3 linked regions of the Macaca fascicularis genome follow. The protein of the gene in region 1 interacts with the protein of each later gene in a biochemical or structural test. Links are inferred from orthologs where the notes say so. Each region holds a gene or a part of one and is shown in the gene's direction. Other genes may lie near its edges. The genes, in order: GNAQ, GRK2 and RIC8A.

Region 1 (5,492 bases):
TTTGCCTTTTGGCTGTTGTTAACAATGCTGCTATTAACATTGATGTACATTGCTTCTCGCCCTTTTGGCTAAGATCAAGTGTCTGTCAGAGCCCCTGCTCTCAGTTCCTTTGGATATATACATTGGAGTAGACTAGCAGGGTCAGTCATGTGGTTATTCTATGTTTAGCTTTTTGAGGAACCACCAAACTGTTTTCACAACAGCTGCACCTTTGTACATTCCCACCAACAGTGCACAGGAGTACAAATCTCTCCACATTTTCCCCAACCCTTGTTATTTCACACTTTTTTATAGCCATTCTAGATGTGGAGGGGTATCTCATTGTGGTTTTGATTTGCATTTTTCTAAATGATTACTGGTGTTGAGCATCTTTTCCTGTGCTTATTGACCATTTGTATATCTTCTTTAGAGAAATGTCTGTTCAAGTCTTTTGCCTATTTTTTAATTGGGTTTTTTGTGTGTGTGTTATTGAATTGTAGGAGCTCTTTGTATATTCTGGATACTAAACTCTTATCAGATGACATGATTTGCAAATATTTTCTCCCATTCTATAGATTGACTTTTCACTTTCTTAATAATGGCGTTGGCCAGGTGTGGTGGCTCATGCTTATAATCCCAGCACTTTGGGAGCCTGAGGTGGGAGGATTGCTTGAGGCCAGAAGTTCAAGAACAGCCTAGACAACATAGTGAGGCCCCATCTTTACAAAAAATTTAAAAATTTGCCACGCTTGGTGGCACCTGTAGTTCCAGCTATTCAGGAGGCTGAGGCAAGAGGATCACTTGAGCCCAGAAGGTTGAGGCTGCAGTGAGCCATGATCATGCCACTACACTGTAGCCTGGGTAGCAGAGCAAGACCCTGTCAAAAAAAAAAAAAAATAGTCCTTGGATACATAAGGTTTTTAATTTTGATGAAGTCCAATTTATTTTTTCTTTTGTGAAAAATATGACCTGGCTGTGGTGTCATATCTAAGAATCCATTGCAAAATTACGTTTTTAGTTTATCTTGCTAGATATATCACAATTCTTTTTCAAAGCATCTAGGACAATTCCTGGCACATAAGAGACTCCTTCCTAAATCAATGTGAGAAAATACAGGCCGAGTGCAGTGGCTGACACCTGTAATCCCAGCACTTTGGGAGGCCAAGGCGGGTGCATCACCTGAGATTAGGAGTTTGAGAACAGCCTGGCCAACATGGCAAAACCTTGTCTCTACTAAAAATACAAAAATTTAGCTAAGCATGATGGCAGGCACCTGTAATCCCAGCTGCTCAGCAGACTGAGGCAAGAGAATCGCTTGAACCTGGGAGGCAGAGGTTGCAGTGAGCCGAGATCTCATCGCTGCACTCTTGCCTGGGCAACATGGTGAGACTGTATCTCAAAAAAAGATAAACCAATTGTTTTATCATCACAAATGAACTGAATGCTACACAAATGTAGTGTGCTCATAAATACCAGAAATCTATGGAAGTGAGACTACCGAGGCCCACTGTAGACAGAGCTGACCTTACAAACAGGTGTTTTATTCTAAGAGGGATTGTCAGTCTGGAAGATGTAAAATGATCCATAATGTTGAGTCGTTTGGAGGACAGATTGACAGGAGAGCCCAAGGAGGCTGTGTCTTTGTGCACACTTATTAAATAGCTGAAACAAGCATAATTAACTCAGTTGAACAGAAGTAAGCTATCACTCCCCTGATGAAGAGCCTACAGTGGCTCCCAGTCACTCAGGGAATCAGAGTGAAGGCCAAGCTAAGAAATAGACTTAACCTTGGCCTTCAAGTCATCTGTCTGCTTTCACCTATACACAGTTTGTGAATGGGTGGGTACGTGGGTGGGTGGGTGGATGGTCAGACATAGTAGTGTTAGGGAAAATGATTATAACAGATCAAATCTGCAGTGCAGATGTAGGCTTCATGAGCAATGACACAGTATTTATTGAACGAATGATAATTGAGTACATTAGCAGATTAGGTAACAGTGTCCCTCTTGTCTCTTGGCCAAAAGGACCCCAGAGAGATGCCCAGGCAGCCCGAGAATTCATTCTGAAGATGTTCGTGGACCTGAACCCAGACAGTGACAAAATTATCTACTCCCACTTCACATGCGCGACAGACACCGAGAACATCCGCTTTGTCTTTGCTGCCGTCAAGGACACCATCCTCCAGTTGAACCTGAAGGAGTACAATCTGGTCTAATTGTGCCTCCTAGACACCCGCCCTGCCCTTCCCTGGTGGGCTATTGAAGATACACAAGAGGGACTGTATTTCTGTGGAAAACAATTTGCATAATACTAATTTATTGCCGTCCTGGACTCTGTGTGAGCGTGTCCACAGAGTTTGTAGTAAATATTATGATTTTATTTAAACTATTCAGAGGAAAAACAGAGGATGCTGAAGTACAGTCCCAGCACATTTCCTCTCTATCTTTTTTTTAGGCAAAACCTTGTGACTCAATGTATTTTAAATTCTCAGTCATGCACTCACAAAGATAAGACTTGTTTCTTTTCTCTCTTTCTCTCTTTTTCTTTTCTATGGAGCAAAACAAAGCTGATTTCCTTTTTTTTTCCCCCCCTAATTTATACTTCCCTCCTGATTTTTTTCCCAAGATACAATGACCTTTATCCTAGTTCCATTCTTGGTCAAGTTTTTCTCTCAAATGATACAGTCAGGACACATCGTTCGATTTAAGCCATCATCAGCTTAATTTAAGTTTGTAGTTTTTGCTGAAGGATTACATGTATTAATACTATGGTTTTAAATGTGTTGCTCTGTATACATACATAGTTTCTTTTTTAATAGAATGTACTGTCTTGTCTCACTTTGGACTGGGACAATGGATGCCCGTCTAACAGTAAGTGTCATTTCTTTTAGATGTTTACCTTCAGCCATAGCTTGATTGCTCAGAGAAATGTGCAGAAGGCAGGATCAAAGACACACAGGAGTCCTTTCTTTTGAAATGCTACGTGCCATTGTCTTTCCTCCCTTCTTTGCTTCTTTTTCTTTTTTTCACCCTCTCTTTCAATTGCAGATGCCAAAAAAGATGCCAACAGACACTACATTACCCTAATGGCTGCTACCCAGAACCTTTTTATAGGTTGTTCTTAATTTTTTTGTTGTTGTTGTTTAAGCTTTTCCTTCCTTTTTTTTCTTAGTGTTTGGGGGCCACAATTTTAAAATGACTTTTATTATGGGAATGTGTTGCCAAAGCTGGCTTTTTTTCAAATAAAATGAATAAGAACTCAAAAAATAAAAGCTGGTATCTTAAAATGTAAGAGAGTAAGACTGTGAAGCCTAAAATGACTGGCTGAGAATGAACCAGAAATGCCAATTGCCAAACAGTTGGTAACTGTAAATTTGATTCTCACGGTCCATTCTTTTATTTGTCCTTAAGATGACATTGTTAGTGTTCACGTCCCATGTTCAGTGTCCAAACCGGCAATGTAAAAAGTATCCTGTGTGGTTTAACAGGAAATCTGTTTATGTCTCTTTATTTGAAACCAGTTTTACTCTCAATGGTTCTTTAAGTTCAATTAAGTCTGCCAGGAACATTGGTTGATAGTATTATTCTGACACCTTTAATTTCCAAAATCTGAAGTTCCTGCTGGTTAACCACCTTCAAGATCTTCTTGAACTGGTAACTGATTAGGTTGAACTTACAGAAGATTTGTGGACTTAACTCAAAAGTAACCTCTCAGTGTTCTATAGAACATGTATTTGTGTAACTGAACCTACTAGGAGAAATGTTTGGAATTCTATATGTGCAATTTTTCAGCAAATGCAAAAAAATACAGCACACGTATTGACGAGCTTCTGTCAAGCAGCTTGAGTTGAAATTTAAGAAAATAAATCACGATTGTTTAAAGCTGCTGGGACGTTAGAATTAGGCCATGAGACTGGTCTCATTTTAACTATAGTGGTATTTGGCACTAGTCTAAACTTCCATATAAATCACTCTTTTGGAACAACAAAGGGGGAGGGAGAAAACTAACGGCCTGTTAGATGAGTACCAAAGCCACCAAACAGTAATGAAATATTCTCATTCTTGATTCTCCCAGCCTCAAACAACACAGGTTACTTTTTTTCCCTTGCTCAGAAAGCACCTGTAATGTAACAAGCAGACTGCCTGTAGGTATAGTGCAATTACAAATGCTCTAATCATTGTACATACATCTCTCTTGATATTGCAGCATCCATACTGGCTTTGTAATCATTAATTTTTTGGCAGATTGAATGTGCTGTATTGATATGTATCTATGTAATTGTATTGTATGTCTATAGCTAATTCACATTTTGAATAATGTTATTTTATTTACTTTTTTAAGAGAGGAGAATGTAAATTTGTCAGTTTATTTCTGACTAGGGATATTTTCTTTCCATTTAGAAAAGAAGAAAAAAAAAAACCTTACTGTCGTACAGAGCGGTACTAGCGTCGTGCTGTATAAAATCATTTGCACATTCCTGAGTAGAGGTATACTGATTATAAGACCCAAAGGTAATTTCATAGCAAAATACATAAAATCAGTCAGAGCTTTTATACAAACATGGAAACCAACTTTGTAGAACTTTTGCCATTTGATCTAGGATTGGAATATGAGCTTTTATACAATTCATATTCTTATTTGGCAAATGCACAGTTTAGTATTACCTCTCTGATGGCCTTTACTAGAAAGGCAGTTTTAGAAGCTATTGTGATCCACTAAGGAAATGTTTTAACAGCTAGAGACCACTGCTTGCCTGAAAGGGCGTTCTTAAATTTGGTGCAGCAAAAAAAAAAAAAAAAAAAGTAAAAACAACAACATTTGAAGGCCTACAGTGTGTATAGAGAAAACCTCATCACAAGATCATAAGTGTTACAGTTTTAGGGAATCAAGATATTCTATTTAATAGAGCTATAGTAGATGTAGTCAATCAAACCTGATCTCAAAGCTTGAAGAAGCTGAGCAAAACAGGGAAAGATTGTTATATTTGTCTTTATGAAATTGGGATGGAATTTGCTATGCAGAATTGAGGTTTGTGGCTTCACTGTTCCTGTAGGGTGCATGACAAGATCCCTTCTCTTGAGAAAGGAAAAAATTGATCACCCTAGCAGCAGTGATGCATAGAAACCTAATTTTAGCCACACTAGTCAATCGAAGCTAAAGGATTTTCTTTTTTGTTTCTTTGGGGTTTTATTGAAGGGGCTAAGGGCGGGACGGGATTCTTTTCAGTTTTGTATAAAACAAAGTTTACTCATGCTTTATATTATATTGTGATTGCAAGCGTTATAAGCGTGTGCCACTGGCCTCCTATTGTTGATGCTTAGGTAATGGAGGCCTGTGGTGAGTTTTATGGTGACTTGGGCATGTCTTATTCAAAAACAAAAACATAAAACACAGAAACCTTTCTTCAGCATACCAAGGCAAGCAGCCATTTCATGACTCACTTAACACATTGCAGTGTACCAGTTTACAGATGATTTTTCCCTTTTTGCGTGACATGGCAGTTCCAACCCCCA
Region 2 (5,769 bases), on another chromosome or scaffold:
CTCTGGTCTGACAAGTTCATCAGGCAGAAGTTTTTAAATAGAGGTTATTCCCGAAAACCCTGGCTGACATGTGGCTGTGCTCACAGTCCAGAAGAGTCAGGACAGGGCAGTGGGGAGAGGAGGTTAGAGGCTTCATGTTGTGGCATCTGGCCTTGTTCCACTCCAAACCCCATGTGCTCCAACAGCTCATTCACTCATTCATTCACTCCTCAAACATTGACGCCTTTGAGTCAGGTCCTGTGGTGGGCACTGGGAGCAAGGGATGAACTAGGAGCACCAGTGACAGTGGGGGACAGTATGTACTCTTTAAATATATATAACAGCATTTCCAACATCACGATGCATTTTCCAATTGATGCAGATATGTAATGAGACTTCACTCCCCACTCTCAAAACTTGCAATGATGCATCTTGCAATGATGCATCTTGCAACTGAAGATGGAAAATAGGGCCTAGAAGGTGGTAAGTGTAGAACTGGAGATGTACATAGTTGGGGTCAGGGAGTCAGGGAAGACTGCCGGGAGGAGGTGAGTCTTAGCGGATAAGTAGGAGTTGGCCAGGGAGAAAGGTACACAGAAGGGCTTCCAGGCCCAGGAAACAGCAGAGGCACAGAAGTGAGAATGGGTGGGTGAGTTGGTGGGGGAGCTCCAGGTGCAGAGGATGGTAGCAAAACAAACGGGAGCATCCAAGGTCCAAGTCCTCCAAGATCTTGACTTGCAGATTAAGGAGTTTGTTCACCTAACCTGCTTTGGGCAGAGTGGGGTGAGTCCTAGAGACCCCTCTAGGTCTCTCACTCTCAGTAGCCCCAGAAGGCCTGGAGAGCTGCTTCTTGGTGCCAAGCAGGCAGTGACTCCATCAGATCTAGACCTGGGAAAGGCATCTCTGGTCAGGGCCTGCATCAGGGCAGTGGCTGGCCATAGGACCCTGAGAAGTAGACAGATTCAAGGAGATTCTCAGGAGGCCAGACAGGAGACTATAGTGACAAATTAGAGAAGGGGAGAAAATGAAGGAGCAGTTAGGGAAAAGAAACCTGGGGCTCACCACTCACTGAGAGGAGAACCTCACTAGCTCTGATATGCTCTGGTTCCAGGTTCTGTTGGGACTGATCCAAGAAGGTAGCCTAGAAGTGCACAGAGATGGGAGCCTTGCTTTGCAAAAGGATCCTGGTTGCTGGCCCACAACATGGTAATGAGATTTGAGCTCTATGTGCCCAGGGCTGGGAGGAGGGTCCTATCACTTCAAAAGCAAAGAGAGGGTCTAGAGAGGGGCATGTTGAGATAGGACTGCTGCCTTGAGACACCTGGCTTTCCTCACTCTGGGTGGGCTCTCGGGTGGGTTTCCCCTACCAGGCAGCACTGAAACCTCTGTGCCATCCCAGGCTGGGAGAGGTTTCACCCTACATGTGGAACCATCCTGAAGGAGCGTCTAGATGGGATGGGGTACACGGAAGGGAGCTGCCAAGAGTGCTGGCCAGGGACCTGGGTCTACGAGCCTGTTAGGGGGTGGGGTTGGGTGCAGGGTACTTGATCCAGAGTGGGCCTGCAGGGGCCAGGATTGGTTCTAGAGTAGGAGGGGTGGGATCGGGGATGGGGGAAGGCTGTAATTGGACTGTAGTTGTCAGATCCCAGGTTCTGGGTGACCTACTAAGGATTCTGGGTCCAATGTGGGTCCCAGGTTAGATGTCCTAGTCCTGAGTCTGTGTCCACAGTTTTGGGTGTTGAGCCTAGGACAGTGGTCTGGAGTTGATAGTCCAATCTAGGTCTAAGCCCTGACCCCAAGTCTAGGATGCAGGGTCATGGTAGTGGCCTAGGGTCAGAGTCAAGGTTGGGGTCAGTAACCAGGATGAGATCGAGGTCATGGTCCAAAATCTGGATCTGGGGAACTGTTAGGGGTCTGGGGTGAGTGTCACAGTCTGGGTATGGCGTTGGAGACCCAGGGCTGTGATCTGAGGTCATGGTTAGAGTCTGAGGTGGTGGGCAAAGGTTTGAGTCTGGGGTCCTGTTTGGAGTCTGGTGTCAGGTCGTGGACTGCGTCAAAGGTCAGGGAGTCTGGGGTTATAGCCAGGGTCTGAGATGAAAGCCCCGGGATGGTGTTCAGAGGTCTGAATCTGTGTCTTGGTGAGCGTCCAGGTTCCTTGTGATCATGTCTGTTGGCAGGACCACGGCCTGACTGGAGAGCCTGGGATTCAGAGATGTGACCCGAGGTTGTGGTCAAGGAATGGGTCTGGGATCGTCTTCCGTGCCGGGTCCCTGTCTTGTTCCAGGCCCGGGTCTCCGTCCAGACCCCAGGTCACCGCCAGGATCTGAGCCCTCTGTCGCAGGTCTCCGCGCGGCCTCCAGGGGGCACCATCGCCCGCCCGGCTCGGCCACTTGCGGGCTCGCTGGCGCTGTGCGCGGCAGGCGGGGCCGGAGGCGGCGGCGGCTCCGGGGCGCGGGCGCGCGGGCGGCGGCGGCGGCGGCGGCGGCGGCGCCCCGACTGCAGTCCCGGCGGGAGCGGAGCGCGAGCCGGGGCCGGGCCCGAGCCGGCGCCATGGGGCGGCGCCGCCTGTGAGCGGCGGCGAGCGGAGCCGCGGGCGCCGAGCGGGGCCAGGCGGGAGGCGTCGGCGCCCCAGGCCGACCGAGCCGCGGCCGGACCGGGCCGAGCGCCGAGCGAGCGGGAGCGGCGGCGGCGGCGGCGGCGGCGGCGGGAGGAGGCAGCGCCGCCGCCAAGATGGCGGACCTGGAGGCGGTGCTGGCCGACGTGAGCTACCTGATGGCCATGGAGAAGAGCAAGGCCACGCCGGCCGCGCGCGCCAGCAAGAAGATCCTGCTGCCCGAGCCCAGGTGAGGAGAAGTCGCCCGCGGCCCCGGCCCGACCCCGCGGGCACCCCGGCCGCGACTCCGAGACCCTGGCCCCACACTCGACCCCGCGACTTGGACCCCCGGGGCCGGCTCTCGCGACCCTCTGTCGGCCCCCGAGCCCGGAGCAGCCCGGCCGTGGCGCCTGCGGGTCCAGACGCTAAGCCCCAGACCCCGGGCGCCTGAGCCCGGAGCGCCCCAACTCCGGAGCTCCTCTGCCCCTTCGGCCCCCGGGCCCGCTCCGGTCCCGCCGGCCGCCCTGCTGCTTCCTTATCGCGTTCCGCCGGCCCCCCGCTCCAGTCGCTGTCAGCCCCTAGCTCCCGCCTTCTCCCACAGGGGCCCGGCGCGCCCCTTCATCCTCCTCCGAGCAGCCCTTGGTCCCTGTGGGGTCCCTTCCCCTCCGCCGGCCACCATTTACCTCGCCTGACGATGTCACCCACCCTTTTGCTGTCCCTGCTCACGGCACCCGCCTTGGGGTTCCCACTACCCCCACCCGTCTCCCCTCCAATCTACACTTGTGTGAGGTGTGGGGGGACAGCCAGTTTTCCGGACTCTTCTCCCACCCTCTGGTGGAGTCGCTATCCTGTAGTTGGGCTTGAGAGTGCTTTCGGGGCGGCGTGGTGAGCAGGACCTAGGGTGCTGCGGACGCCCTCCCCCTCAGACCGCGCTCAGGTGGGGGAAACATCCCGTGCCCTCTCCCCCACATTCCTTCTCGGGCGTGCACTGCATATGGTGCCCGGTGGGTGCTGTTGACCAGGGGCCCTCCCAGCACACTGGCAACAGCTGGACCTTAGCTGCCGCCCCTGTAAGACAACTGACATCACACCTGGTATCAAAGTTTAGACTGTTCAGGATGTAGGTGCAAAAGTACACAGGATGTGGACGATTGCTGCGGTTTGTCCAGCTCTTTATGGCTGATGGAGTATCTCTCCACTGTGTGAGCCTCTCAGCAGCGAATGGGGTGGCCAGGACAGGTGTGGTTTTGTCCCTGTGGAACAGGTGGAGAAACTGAAGCTCCAGAGGTGAGTGGCCTGCCCCAAGTCACACAGGTAGTCTCAGGTGGCACCTGGCCAACAGATCAGGGCTTCAGACTTCCGGTTCTACATTTCATTGGCTGCCCTGGCTTGCGCCAGGGAGCAGATGTGCCCGCCACGGTCCTTTGTGTCGTGTGGCAACTCCTCGTGCATGCCTGAGAGTTAGCCTCCTGGTGCCCCAGCAGGCTGGGAATGGGGCCTGTCCACACTGCCGTGGTCTTATCTTGTGACTGTGGGCAAGTCCCTTCCCTCACTGGGCCTCAGTCTTCTCGTCTGTGAAATGTGGATGGCGTGAAATAAGAGTTGTGACTCTGTGATGTCCCTCAGCCTTTGAAGTGTCTGTCTAAGCCTGGGCTGACGCTGCAGGGGTGCCATGCCCATGGCCCTCACCGGCCCCCTCTGCCATGCCCTGCTCACTGGGTGTTTGGATTGACTGAACGTCAGGCCGGGGAGAGGAAAATTGGTCTGCATTCGGAAAAGGCCGTTAGGGCCTTTTTTTTCTAAGATATTTGCAATCAGATTTCTCAAAACAGGAACCAGACTGACTGTCAGCTGGGGGCTGTCCAGGGAGCAGTGACGGTTAGTGCAGAAATGAGTTCAGAAATGACAAACCCACGAGGGAGGAAATGGGGGAGTCAGCCTCTAGGGCTCAAAACGGCTCTCCTTGGTGGCCGCAGCTTTGAGACCCTCCTGCAGGATGGAGTTCGGCAATGTGTGAGGTGGGACCTTTTCTGGAACTGTCTGCGTTCGTGTACTTTTCCCCCCAGAATGCATTGCTTCTGATGGGGTGCCGCCTTGGCTCTGCAGGTGTCAGAACCCGGAGAAACGAGATGTTCTTCTTTTCCTGTCCCCTTTCCCATCCACAGCAGTGATGGCGATGATAGCAATAATGATAGGAGTTATTACTGACTTACCTGTTTTGACATCTGTCCTCTCAATTCTTCAACCAACCTGTGAAGCTGGCAAGGCCATGCCTTGCATGTAGTAGTTGCCCAAGAAATACCAGGACTGTGTGACGCCCCAGGCAGTCCTGAGCAGAAACAAGGTTGGATAGGATTCTAGGAGGACAGCAGGAGGCGGAGCCAGGCAGCCCAGGTTTTCACATTGGGTCACCATCAGCAGCATGGCCTTCCGCAAATTGCCCACATCTGTGAAATGGACTGGAGGTGCGAGCGCCGAATGTCAGTGTGCTAAGGCCTGGGAAGGGCTATGGGCCACCCCTACATGGGGGTCCAGGCCTGGGGCATTAGGGAGCAAGCCACCCTTTGCATAATGCCTTGCCTTGCACACCCAGTGGGGCAGAGCGCACCCCCTGCCGCCCCGATGGTGATCCTGACCACGTCTCATGTTTGCCCGACACTTTTCCGTTTGCAGAGTGCTTTTTACTCCATTTTGTCCTTTTGACAACTGTGGGAGGCAGGCCCAGCAGATGGGATTCTCCCCTTTAGCAGTTGAAGTCATTGAGGCTCAGGGAGGGGAGGAGTCGTGTTCTCGTCACAGAAGAAAGCTGGAATGGGGCCTCAGGTTTCTGGACCACACAGGCCAGTGCTGTTTCTCTGCTGTGCTTTATCCCCTCCACCCACCCCTGCACACCACTGTTCTCACCCCTGTCCACATTTTGCGGCGTGGGCTGACTGGCACCGCTTGTCTGGGGCCATTGGCTGTCACAGTTCACAAGGCTCAGCCCCCTTCCTGTTGGCTGGGATGGAGAATTGAGCTGCCCTGGCAAAGCTGCTGCCCCGAGGGGCAGCTCCACTCCAGGGTCCCATCAGATGCAGGAGCCTGTCTTCCCCATACCCCCAAGGTCAAGGTCAGAGTCAGGGAGAGGGGCTGTGGCTTGTCCCCGTGACAGGGTGCCTCTGGGAATTGTTCACACCTTGAGGTGGCCCACCTTGGCA
Region 3 (5,769 bases), on another chromosome or scaffold:
TGGGATGTTAATAAGATGTGACACTTGCATCCAGGGAGGTCGCCATCTGTGTATGTGGAGCCCATTCTTATAGAAAAAGAGTAAACTCTGCTAAGAGCATAGGAAAGACTTGGGAAAAGTACCCAGCAGGGCAGCAGAAAGGCTCCTGCAGGGACGACCTTTGAGCTGGGTCCTGAAGAGGTGGCAAGGAACCAGGACAGAACATTGGGAAGGCCCTTTACCGCACAGAAAACAGCTGAGCAAAGTTCCCAATTCCGCGAGATGGGAGCTGAGGTCGACCAGGAGCGTGATCCCTGGTCTGCATCCCACACAGGGCTTCCTGCAACACCCAGGGCACAGCGCTTGCAGAGGCCCGGCCTGTGACAGGCTGGGCCAGGTGATAAGGAATTTCTGTCACCTCAGGTGGGTGAGAACCACCTTCTCCCTAGCTTCAACGTTAAGGAAGGGATGCCAGCGTCCTTCCAACCACTTCCTGTTCATTAATTCCTTTACTCATCATAACTCAGACAGGCATCAATATCCCACTTTGCAGAGAAGAACACGGGCTCCAGGAGGGGAAATGGGGCCACCGAGGCCCAAGTTAGTTAGCAGAGGCCTGCCTGGACACCAGCGGAGCACAGCCTACTCCGAAGGCCTGGCCTCGGGACCTGTCGAATGCCGAGACTCCCGCTCACCCTGAACCCATGCAAAACGATCTCACAGGGAGCGGCGGGGAGTGGGGGGACCCCGCAGCTGCGCGAGCCCTCGCTGGAGCTGCTGGGCCGCCCCGCCCGCCGTCCTTCCTAGCGGCAGTGCTGGCCGAAACCCGGCCCTGCTGGGACCCGGAAGGATCCGAATCCGCCCCCCTGACAGGGTCCTCCCCGCCGAGGCCAGAGGCAGGCGCACGCGGCTCTACAGGCAGCGGCGTCGGTTCCGGCCCGGCCCTGCCCCCAACGGCTCCGCTCTCCCGCGCTCACCCCGAGCCCAGTCCGCCATCGTGCCCTGCCCCGGCTCCTCGACGCCAACACCGACGCGGCCACAGCCGCCTCAGACGTGGCGCAGTCACGGGGAACGGGCTTCCGGCCCCGCCCCCCGCCAGCGATGGCCCCGCCTCCGCGCCAACCACGCCCCTAGATGGCGTCGGGCTCGCTGATTTCCGGCTTAGGCCCGAGGGTGGGGAACCGCGGGGTCGCGGAAGCGATGGGCGTCGCTGTGACTTATTTTCAGCACTGTCGCCCAGGCAGTGGCGCGATCTCAGCTCACTGCAGCCCCCGCCTGCCGGGCTCCCAAGGTGCTGGGATTACAGCAGCACCGCGGATGTGACGTTTGTTTGTTGTTCCTGTGAACGTGGGGCGGGGCGGGGCCGTTTGCTTGCTCAGTGCCAAGACGATGGTGGTGGAAAGACGCTGCCATGCGTTAGGTCCTAACGGTTAGGAAGGATTCACAGGCGGGTCATGAGGGAGGAGTAGGCCCCTCGGGCAGAAGCCCGCGAGGAGCCCTGGGTGTGGAGGGGGCAAGGGTGCCTCCTCTGTCAAGTGGAGATCGGCGCCTCGCTAGTGCCTGCGAGTGCGCGCCGCGTCGAATACAGGTGTGCGGAAAGCGCTACAGGAAAGTGAAGCAGGGAAAGAGACTGGGAGGCGGCACGGGGAGTGGGGGCCGTAGACGCCTTTGCTCCCGGGCACTTGTTACAAGAGCCAGTGGACCGCGCTTCCTGTGCGTCACTGAATCCTCCTGATGGCCACTGAAACGGACACGCAGGATCTTTGCTTGTCAAGAGGGAACTGAGTCCAGGCCAGACTGCGTTGCTCCCCTTTCTCTCGGCCCCTCACGGCCCTTCCACCTTTGCAAGTGCTGCTCCTTCTGCCTGGAGTGGCTCCTCCAGTCTTTTCCCGGCTCGCTTCCCATCGTCCAGTGTTAGCAAAAACACCACTGCCTCACAGCCCTTGCAGCCCAGCAGTCACCTTTTGCTTCTTTTGAAGCACAGCCCTGTGACCGCCTCATGTCCTTTTGTTTTTCCTTGTCTGCCTTCCCCTCTGGAACATAAGCTCCACAAAGGCAGGGGCCTGGGAGTCCCGTTCGCTTGCATTCCCCAGCAAACGCCTAACGAACCCAATGGCCCGGGACTGAAAAGTCCTTTCCACTTCGGCTTTCCCGTCTACATCCCATCGGTTCTGTGGAGCTCGAGGGGCGTCACTGTGTGTGTGGCAGGGCGCGGTGGGGGCTGAGATCCTTTCCTGTTGGAAATTCCGGCCCAAGAAGCCCCGGTCACAAGGAGGGGGATCAGTCCGGTTCAGGGCGACTTGGCCCGACTCGGGTCTTCCGAGCCGCCAGTGCTGCCTCAGGCCGCGCCCCCTTGAAGCGCCACCAGACGCCGCGTCCCGTCCCGGCCTCCCCCGCGCGCTGGCGCGGGGCTTTCTGGGCCAGGGCGGGGCCGGCGAACTGCGGCCCGGAAAGGTTGAGGAAGGGCCCGTCCCGCCTTCCCCGCGCCGGGTTCCGGGGGCGCCATGGAGCCCCGGGCGGTTGCAGAAGCCGTGGAGACGGGGAAGGAGGATGTGATTATGGAAGCTCTGCGGTCGTACAACCAGGAGGTGAGCGGCCGCCTGAGGCCGGGGGGCGGGCACGGAGGGGGTGGGGCAGGGTCGTGCGCGGGTGGTCGGGACGGTGTGGGTGAGGCAGGGGTTGTGTCAGCAAGCAGAGGGGACGCGGCGGCGTGGGGGTGGCACGTCAGGGATGCAGTGTTGGGGGGAGAGTGTCTGGGGTGCACCCGTTGGGTGGCAGGTGTGTAGGGATGGGGGCGAGTGTAGACCCTGCCACCCCTTCTGAGCAGTGGCTGCTGCCTGAGTTAGAGGCCAATAGGCCGCCCCCCGTCAGCGGGCGCGGATACTGCCCCTCTGTGGACTTGAATTCACTCGTTCTCTCTGCAGCACTCCCAGAGCTTCACGTTTGATGATGCTCAACAGGAGGACCGGAAGGTGGGTGCTGGCCCGAGGGGTAAAGGGACAGGGACGGGTGGCCCCAGGAAGAGGGGCCTGGTGGAGCCGCTCGTCTCCCTGCCCACAGAGACTGGCGGAGCTGCTGGTCTCCGTCCTGGAACAGGGCTTGCCACCCTCCCACCGGGTCACCTGGCTGCAGAGTGTCCGAATCCTGTCCCGGGACCGCAACTGCTTGGACCCGTTTACCAGCCGCCAGAGCCTGCAGGCACTGGCCTGCTATGCTGACATCTCTGGCTCTGAGGGGTCCGTCCCAGACTCCCCCGACATGGATGTTGTACTGGAGTCCCTCAAGTGCCTGTGCAACCTCGTGCTCAGCAGCCCTGTGGCACAGATGCTGGCAGCAGAGGCCCGCCTAGTGGTGAAGCTCACAGAGCGTGTGGGGCTGTACCGGGAGAGGAGCTTCCCCCACGATGTCCAGTTCTTTGACTTGAGGCTCCTCTTCCTGCTAACGGCACTCCGCACCGATGTGCGCCAGCAGCTGTTTCAGGAGCTGAAAGGAGTGCATCTGCTGACTGACACACTGGAGCTGACGCTGGGGGTGACTCCTGAAGGGAACCCACCCAAGCTCCTTCCTTCCCAAGAGACTGAGCGGGCCATGGAGATCCTCAAAGTGCTCTTCAACATCACCCTCGACTCCATCAAGGGGGAGGTGGACGAGGTGAGCCCTGACCTCAACCCATGGATGGGTCTCAACTCAGCTCCAACATTTCCTGGACCTGCTTCCCACTGGGTACCTTCAGGTTTCTGGGTGTCAGACATGGAGAGAACAGGACCTCCCAGCGTGTTGGGACAAGGCCAAGGAGATGCCAGTTCTGGGCTGGGACCTTAGGGGAGGATTCTGAGGGAAGTAGAGGCCCCTTCTGGCTCTTGCTGCCTGGCAGGGGGCTGTGTGCTCTCCGGGGAGACTGTAAGAGATCCTCCACCATGAGGCTGTGAGTGGGGCTGAGACAAGAGTGTGACTTCATCCCAAGGGTGTGTGTTAACATTCCTAATCAGGGACGTGCTCTTAGAAGAATACTCATGGAGTTTTTAGGAAGACAGCGGTGGTCATCTTTTGCCCCCAGCACTAGCCAGAGTCACCTAGGAGACCCCAGGGGACCAAGTGTGCAGTACAGGAGGTGCACAGTCATTGCCACACAGTTCTGGAGTGCAACAGACAGTAGAGCCTCAGCAGGCAGCAGTGGGATGAGTGGGGCTCCTCACAGGAACCCTTCTTTCTTTGGTCAGGAAGACGCTGCTCTTTACCGACACCTGGGGACCCTTCTCCGGCACTGTGTGATGATTGCTACTGCTGGAGACCGCACAGAGGAGTTCCATGGGTGAGGATGGGGCTTTTTCTGGGAGGGAAGTGTGTCCACATGTTTAGATGGTCATCCTCAGCCCTGGCTGTGAACCAGAACCACCTGAGAGCCCAGGCCCCACCCTAGAGGGTCTGACTTTGTCTGGGTGAGTGAGACTGGACATCGGTGTGTTTCCAGAGAATACTGGGTGCTTCTAATATGTGGCCAGGACAACAGCCATGAATTTGGGGGCAGGAATGTGCCACCTGGGCCTTGGGTAGTGGCAACAGACAGTGTGGTATTTACTAGGGCACATTGGCTCCTTGTCCCCATTCTTGGTCCACCTGCCCCTTGGCTGGTGTGGTTTCCAGAGATGGTCTGGCGCTTTGGCCCAGACAGGGTAGGGGAGGCAGGGTGTCTCAGCCCCCACTTCCCCAGGGGACCCCACTGTACAGCTGAGTGGCAGTGCCTCTCAGATCAGTCCCTGCCCTTGGCTTTGGTCCCCAGTGCCGCCCCTTTGGGCCTCAGACGCCAGCTCATGTAATGTGTGGTTCAGTGGGGGCACAAAGATTGCATCTGTGCTGAGGGATTAGCCCTATTGAGACCCCCACCTCCATCTGTCCTCAGCCACGCAGTGAACCTCCTGGGGAACTTGCCTCTCAAGTGTCTGGATGTTCTCCTCACCCTGGAGCCACACGAAGACTCCGTGGAGTTCATGGGAGTGAATATGGATGTGATTCGTGCCCTCCTCATCTTCCTAGAGAAGCGTTTGCACCAGGTAGGCTGGGGATGGCTGTACAGGCTCCCCCAGTGGCTCTGGCACTGGTTCTCCTGCACAGCTGTGGTCAGTGCTTCTCCACTGGCCACATTGGTAAGTGGAAATCATCTTGGTGGTGTGATACAGGCGATTCTTCCGGCTGTTCTGTGGTCCAGCCTGGCAACAAGCTAGACCCTTCCTTCATGAGAAGCATGTGGACACCTTCCACACACTTGAAGGTTTCACTTCTTAAATCTTTGTGGATCTTTATTGAGTGGTCCTGAGAAGCCCCCAAGTCCCTGCTTTTAACTCTCAGACACAGGCAGCCCTTGACTACAAGCATAGCTGTCCCTCAACATCCTGAGGAGACCCATAGGAACCTCAGATCAAAGCTTCCCTCTGATTCCTGTGACTGCACTACAGGGCATCTGGATAGCTAGGGCTCTAACCATCCTCCAGGAGCTTGCAGAAAGCAGGCTGGAGCACAATAAACCGAGATTTAGGAGACCTCTCGGGAATCTACCTGCCTAAGCAGGGGACACACATGGTGCGTGAGAGCCAGTCAGGGTAGGGAGCTGGCACTGGACATACAGCCGGGGGGTTGTCTGTGCCTGTCGCTGTCGCTGCCACTGCTGGTGCTGGGGTCCAGGCACATTATGCTAGGAGGGTCAGGAACTCCCTGCTCTCTGTCCATGAAGTACCCAGAGTGGGGATTCGGTTCTCGTTTCTTTTTGCCACCAACATCTGAGGGCAATGTGTG

Evidence for each region.
Region 2: the proteins of GNAQ (region 1) and GRK2 form a complex in vitro, tested with the Homo sapiens proteins (3 studies listed by BioGRID). The link is inferred for Macaca fascicularis from reciprocal best matches to the Homo sapiens genes GNAQ and GRK2.
Region 3: the proteins of GNAQ (region 1) and RIC8A form a complex in vitro, tested with the Homo sapiens proteins (2 studies listed by BioGRID). The link is inferred for Macaca fascicularis from reciprocal best matches to the Homo sapiens genes GNAQ and RIC8A.

The regions. Positions count from the first base shown.
Region 1 is NC_088389.1:108,364,224-108,369,715, reverse strand, and holds part of GNAQ (guanine nucleotide-binding protein G(q) subunit alpha), read left to right. Parts: intron 1-2,003; coding exon 2,004-2,194; 3' UTR 2,195-5,492.
Region 2 is NC_088388.1:7,107,916-7,113,684, reverse strand, and holds the start of GRK2 (beta-adrenergic receptor kinase 1), read left to right. Parts: upstream 1-2,479; 5' UTR 2,480-2,709; coding exon 2,710-2,822; intron 2,823-5,769. UniProt on the Homo sapiens protein: Specifically phosphorylates the agonist-occupied form of the beta-adrenergic and closely related receptors, probably inducing a desensitization of them. Key regulator of LPAR1 signaling.
Region 3 is NC_088388.1:87,580-93,348, forward strand, and holds the start of RIC8A (chaperone Ric-8A), read left to right. Parts: upstream 1-2,401; 5' UTR 2,402-2,483; coding exon 2,484-2,567; intron 2,568-2,903; coding exon 2,904-2,951; intron 2,952-3,039; coding exon 3,040-3,630; intron 3,631-4,199; coding exon 4,200-4,291; intron 4,292-4,879; coding exon 4,880-5,030; intron 5,031-5,769. Other genes in the region: BET1L (BET1-like protein), read right to left, coding at 957-975.